2 linked regions of the Callithrix jacchus genome follow. The protein of the gene in region 1 interacts with the protein of each later gene in a pairwise test. Links are inferred from orthologs where the notes say so. Each region holds a gene or a part of one and is shown in the gene's direction. Other genes may lie near its edges. The genes, in order: SIAH2 and USP19.

Evidence for each region.
Region 2: the proteins of SIAH2 (region 1) and USP19 interact in a two-hybrid assay, tested with the Homo sapiens proteins (2 studies listed by BioGRID). The link is inferred for Callithrix jacchus from reciprocal best matches to the Homo sapiens genes SIAH2 and USP19.

What each region holds. Positions count from the first base shown.
Region 1 is NC_133518.1:34,522,315-34,524,996, forward strand, and holds the end of SIAH2 (E3 ubiquitin-protein ligase SIAH2), read left to right. Parts: intron 1-462; coding exon 463-1,020; 3' UTR 1,021-2,025; downstream 2,026-2,682. UniProt on the Homo sapiens protein: E3 ubiquitin-protein ligase that mediates ubiquitination and subsequent proteasomal degradation of target proteins.
Region 2 is NC_133516.1:31,732,811-31,736,631, reverse strand, and holds part of USP19 (ubiquitin carboxyl-terminal hydrolase 19), read left to right. Parts: intron 1-347; coding exon 348-458; intron 459-538; coding exon 539-640; intron 641-1,736; coding exon 1,737-1,877; intron 1,878-1,963; coding exon 1,964-2,082; intron 2,083-2,300; coding exon 2,301-2,438; intron 2,439-2,535; coding exon 2,536-2,849; intron 2,850-2,964; coding exon 2,965-3,075; intron 3,076-3,163; coding exon 3,164-3,380; intron 3,381-3,466; coding exon 3,467-3,619; intron 3,620-3,725; coding exon 3,726-3,821. UniProt on the Homo sapiens protein: Deubiquitinating enzyme that regulates the degradation of various proteins by removing ubiquitin moieties, thereby preventing their proteasomal degradation. Stabilizes RNF123, which promotes CDKN1B degradation and contributes to cell proliferation.

The sequences.
Region 1 (2,682 bases):
GGACAACAGAATTATAGTTTTCACTGTCGTCTTTGTGCAAAAACTAATTTGGAGATAATATAATATTCCTTGCCCAACCCCATCCCCAGCCCCAAGCAATTGAATTCTTTAAAAAACAGCTTCACAGAAAATATGGGGAAGGCCAGATTTTACAGGACTTGCTCAACAATTTTGAGATGCGCGACGTAAAAGAATTTAGTTCTTGTCCTTTTGACAGTAGAACAGGGTCATGGAAAACAGCCTACTTCTGGTTCAGGAAATACCTTTGATTTTATGCATGACAACACTAATGATGAAGAGAGACTGAGACCTTTAATCTTGAATATTTCACTTGTTTTGAGCAAAAGTAGTTAGGAACACAGTTTAAGCCCAGGAAAACAGAGTAGTTAAGTACTTATAGAGGGTTGCACCAACAGAAGTTTTGAGAAGGCCCCATGGCTCAATGCATTTCTTTTTCCGCAGTATGCCACCACGGGCTGTTCCCTAACCCTGCACCATACAGAGAAGCCAGAACACGAAGACATCTGTGAATACCGTCCCTACTCCTGCCCTTGTCCTGGCGCTTCCTGCAAGTGGCAGGGGTCCCTGGAAGCTGTGATGTCCCATCTCATGCACGCCCACAAGAGCATTACCACCCTTCAGGGAGAAGACATCGTCTTTCTAGCTACAGACATTAACTTGCCAGGGGCTGTCGACTGGGTGATGATGCAGTCATGTTTCGGCCATCATTTCATGCTGGTGCTGGAGAAACAAGAGAAGTACGAAGGCCACCAGCAGTTTTTTGCCATCGTCTTGCTCATTGGCACCCGCAAGCAAGCCGAGAACTTTGCCTACAGACTGGAGTTGAACGGGAACCGGCGGAGACTGACCTGGGAGGCCACACCCCGGTCCATTCACGATGGTGTGGCTGCGGCCATCATGAACAGTGACTGCCTGGTTTTCGACACAGCCATAGCACATCTTTTTGCAGATAATGGGAACCTTGGAATCAACGTGACTATTTCTACTTGTTGTCCATGATGTGGCTTTCGTAACCCATCCAAATTATGTGAGCATAGTGCTCTATGTTTAATAAAGGTTTTTATAAAGGTTTTATTCCATATGTCTTCACAAGTCAGGACCAACAGTTACCTGTGTTTTGTTTGAACAGCAGTTTCCCATCTGGCATTGACCCCACAAAGTTCATTAACCTGGGATGAATGGGGTTGGCCTGTTGGTGATTTAGAGGCTGTTCTGTGATCTAAAACAACTCTCTTATTAAATTTTATGTACATCCTAAACAACATTTGACAGGCTGTTGCACAGGGCTTCTGTAGATCAGTGTGTTAGGAATGGGAGGCCCCTTCCTGCCTGCCTTCCCATATTGGTCCCTTGTCATTGACAAAAGCACAGTGACTGTCAGCAGATTCCTTTACTTTTGTTTGTGGGAGGTAGGAATTGTTTTAATGCATTTTAAACAGTATTTCTCAAACTGGATGGCTAATAGACATCGAATCACCCGGAGTGCTTATCTTAAAATTGCAGATTTAGGGAGCCTGCCAATTTAACAGTCTCATCTGGTGATTCTTTTCAACAGCAATGTTTGAAAATTACTGGGCTAAATTGTGGGAAAGGGTCCAGATTTTAAAGGTGCTTTAAGATTGCCCTCTGCCGATACTGTTTGTCTTTCTACTGTTTCATTCCCTAACCTCCCCTGACCCTCAAATTAAAACTAGAACTACAGATCCACATGAACACACGCCTGAGATCTGGTCACTCACTTGTGTTTTGGGTGGATTGCCTAGAAAGCAAGTCATATGGCCATTAGTTCTCATGTAATTAGTTTTGCTCACCACTAGAACAGGGGACTCGTTTACACATGGCTTCCCTCAGAAGCCCTACTTGATAGTAGCTGGTGTGAAAGACTAGATCAGTAGATTGGAAAAGCTTTATAACCGGTGTGTCATATGCTTGCTATTTAAAGGTGTGTGTTGGTTTTGTTTTTCTGCCACATTCACTAGTTTTTTAATAAATATTTTCCAAAAATGGATGTTGTGCTTTATTTCCCTAATTGAATAATGGGTATTTATTGAGCATCAATTGTGTGCAAGTGCAATGAACCTTTACCACTGCATCTGGGGTTGGAACTTTCACTGTTTTCACTGAGGAAACAGTCATTGGGCCAAGGTCATGACATGGGTCCATGACAGCACTGGGGTCCAGGCTCACACATCTGAACCACTGACTGTCGGTGGTACAGGTCTCCTCCCAGGGCTGTCATTTCTGTCTGACAGTGTTAGCAGCTGCGCAAGAAGAGGATTGCTCCTGCTTTACCGAGTGAGAAGGAAGACACTTGGCCAGTGCTGACATCCAGAGTGCTGGGGTTGATCCAAGGTGACCCACTCCCTCAGTCCCAACCATATACTCCCAAAAGAATTCAGAGATTAGTGCCAAATGCTTAGTGAGGATTGATGACTGCTTACCTCAGCGTCCCAATTTCTTTTCTTTTCTTCTCTCTTTTTTTTTTTTTAAAGACAGAGATTGGAGTGCAATGGTGTGATCTCAGCTTACTGTAACCTTGCCTCTGGATTCAAATGATTTTCCTGCCTCAGCCTCCCAAGTAACTGGGACTACAGGCCCATGCCACCACACCCAGCTAATTTTTGTATTTGTAGTAGAGATGAGGTTTTACCATACTGGCCA
Region 2 (3,821 bases), on another chromosome or scaffold:
TAGGATTCTATGTGGACTGAAGAGCCTATTCAGGGTAGGCTTCCTGACTGAGGGAAAAGTGATATTAAAGCTCAGAGGTGTTGTCACAGGGTTCTGGGCACATGGGGTGTAAGTGTGAGGCAAATTTGTAAAGTGGCTAAGCTGAGCATGGCTTTGAGTGCCAGAAAGAGGGATCATTAACTCCTGGTGGCCCTCCTGCCCCATCTAGTGTCCTCAAGCCTGAGAGTTTGCTGGTTGGCTCTGAGGGCCCTGAGAGCCATCAGAAAGCCTGGAATGGGCTCTTTGGGCATGAGCATCTTGTCTCCCACTCTCTGTGCAGTCACCCAGTGCCAACTATACATCCACAGGTCTCCATCACTTTTGACCCATTTCTTTATCTGCCGGTGCCCTTGCCACAAAAGCAAAAGGTTCTCCCCGTCTTTTATTTTGCCCGAGAGCCCCACAGCAAGCCCGTCAAGGTGAGGAGTAAGCCCCTACCCTCTGGGCTATCACAGAGAATGTGGCCCACCTCCCTCACTGGCTGCCCTTTTTGCCACAGTTCCTGGTGAGCATCAGCAAGGAGAACTCCACTGCGAGTGAAGTATTGGACTCCCTCTCTCAGAGCGTTCATGTGAAGCCTGAGAACCTGCGTTTGGCAGAGGTATCTTTGTCCTTCCTTGGACTATTATATATGTGGACGTGTGCGTACTCAGCATAGACGTTTACAGTCATTGACATCTACAGACATACACATGGGCTGGGCACAGTGGCTCATAGCTATAATCCCAACACTTTGTGAGGCTGAGGTGAGCAGATCACTTGAGCCCAGCAGTTTGGGACCAGGCCAGGCAACTTGGCGAAACAAGAAATCTCTACAAGAAATAAAAAACAAGTCTCTACAAGAAATAAAAAAATTGGATGGGTGTGGTGGGTATGTGCTTATAGTCCCAGCTACTTCAGAGGCTGAGGCAGGAGGCTCACTTGAGCTCAGGAGGTGGAGGTTGCAGTGAGCAGAGATCGACTGCATTGCAGCACTCTAGCCTGGGTGACAGAGTGAGACCCTGTCTCAAAAATAAATAGATAAAACATAAAAATAGACATACACATGAATGTGCCTGTGACTGCCCAAAAACAGGCAATGTGCTGTTATTTGAGGCATGTTTGAAACCAGGCATTTTGTCTGTACAACAGAAGTGCCCTTAGTTCCTAGCCATTATCTGGGTTTATTCCCCTTTGTGGTGGTGGACCCCAACTGCATTTCCCTTTTCAGACAAGGAGCTTGAGCTGCAGGACTATCACTATGTTTACTCTGCTTCTCCCTCTATCCTACTACTGCTTTCCTTTTATCCCAGTTCTGTGTGCTAGCTCTCTCCAGGGGTTCCTAACCTTTAGCCTGACAGTGTCGGTTTTCTCAGGGATAAGAGTGGGGAGGAATCTCCTTGAATGTGAACCCTCCGTGACAATATGTTGCAGTCTTATAAGGCCATGCTAGTTATAGTAGGGTAGAGTCCCTCAGTGTGGAGAGCTGGTATTGTTGATATCTGCCCAACACCTGGTCTTTCAGGCCCTCTGATGCACTAGGCTCATTATGGCCTTAGGCACTGAGATGGATGCCAGCGGAGGCATAAGCCTATTTGGGCCTCCAGACCTTACTGCTGCCCATAGACCCAAGGCAGGGCCAAGTTTTCTTACACTCTGGGGCAGGACTAGGGAAAGGGCTTATTCTTATGTGGGATCTGTGTGTTCTCTGTCCCCAGGTAATTAAGAATCGTTTCCAACGTGTGTTCCTGCCCTCCCACTCACTGGACACTGTGTCCCCATCTGATATGCTCCTCTGCTTTGAGCTGCTATCCCCAGAGTTGGCTAAGGAGCGGGTAGTGGTGCTAGAGGTGCAACAGGTGAGTGGGGGCCAACCTGATGGCACAGGGCCCTGGTGGGTGGGGCACTCCTGCCTGGTCTTGCTGAGCCAGACGACCCACCCTAGCGCCCTCAGGTGCCCAGCGTCCCCATCTCCAAGTGTGCAGCCTGCCAGCGGAAGCAACAGTCGGAGGATGAAAAACTGAAGCGCTGTACCCGGTGCTATCGTGTGGGCTACTGCAACCAGTGAGGACCCCCGTGGTCTCCCCCACCCTTCCTTACTACCTTCTATGTGCCACCCTGCCCCTTCCTGCCACACCAAGGCACATATGCTTAAGATATACCTGTCACCCTACTTTACCAGGCTCTGGGGGAGGCAGGGCTGGCATACCCAGTTCCAAGGGACTATGACGAGCCCCCAGGATGGGGCTGAGGGCCTATCCTTGTCTTCCTCTTCCCTTCAGGCTCTGCCAGAAAACCCACTGGCCTGACCACAAGGGCCTCTGCCGACCTGAGAACATTGGGTACCCCTTCCTGGTCAGTGTACCCGCCTCACGCCTCACTTATGCACGCCTCGCTCAGCTGCTAGAGGGCTACGCCCGGTAAGTGCCCAGTGGTTGGACTAGAGTGGTGTAGGTGGGGACAGAGATGCTAGATGGGCTGGTCAGGAATCTTATTTGCCTTGTTGTCTGTTGCTAGGTACTCTGTGAGTGTATTCCAGCCACCCTTTCAACCTGGCCGCATGGCCTTGGAGTCTCAGAGCCCTGGCTGCACCACACTGCTCTCCACTGGCTCCCTGGAGGCTGGGGACAGTGAGAGGGACCCCATTCAGCCACCTGAGCTCCAGCTGGTGACCCCTGTGGCTGATGGGGACACAGGGCCTCTCCGGGTATGGACAGCCCCTGACCGGGGTCCTGTGCCCAGCACCAGTGGAATTTCTTCTGACATGCTGGCCAGTGGGCCCATTGAGGTTGGCTCCTTGCCTGCTAGCGAGAGGGTGTCCCGACCTGAAGGTAAGATCCGGTGAATGACTCCGGGAGCTGGGAAAGAAGAGACAGGAGGGTTGGGGGGGGCTCTTGTTTAGGTCCTGATGGGCAGGGAAGATTTGATTATCATGTTTTCACACAGCCGCTGTGCCCGGGTACCAGCACCCAAGTGAAGCTTTGAATGCCCACACACCCCAGTTCTTCATCTATAAAATTGACTCATCCAACCGAGAGCAGCGGCTAGAGGATAAAGGTGTCTGAGGCAGCGGGTGGGAGCCATGGTGTGGTTTGAGTTGGTTGTTCTCCACAGCTGCATGACCTCTCTCCCTGCCAATCTCCAGGAGACACCCCACTGGAGCTGGGTGATGATTGTAGCCTGGCTCTTGTCTGGCGGAACAATGAGCGATTGCAGGAGTTTGTGTTGGTAGCCTCTAAAGAGCTGGAATGTGCTGAGGATCCAGGCTCTGCTGGTGAGGCTGCCCGGGCTGGCCACTTCACCCTGGACCAGTGCCTCAACCTCTTCACACGGCCTGAGGTGCTGGCACCCGAGGAGGCCTGGTGAGAACAGGGCAGCAGGCAGATAAGGGGGCAGGATGGAGAAGAGAGAGACTTGCTGGTCCTGACCCAACCTCTGTCCCCTCCAGGTACTGCCCACAGTGCAAACAGCACCGTGAGGCCTCCAAGCAGCTGTTGCTATGGCGCCTGCCAAATGTTCTCATCGTGCAGCTCAAGCGCTTCTCCTTTCGTAGTTTTATCTGGCGTGACAAGATCAATGACTTGGTGGAGTTCCCTGTTCGGTGAGCAGCGGACCGTGGTGACTGTGGGCGGAGCGTGAGGACCAGGGTGGGCATCCGGAGCACCTGCTGCTTGTCTCACCCCTCCCTGACTGGACCTGACCTGCAGGAATCTGGACCTGAGCAAGTTCTGCATTGGCCAGAAAGAGGAGCAGCTGCCCAACTACGATCTGTATGCTGTCATTAACCACTATGGAGGCATGAT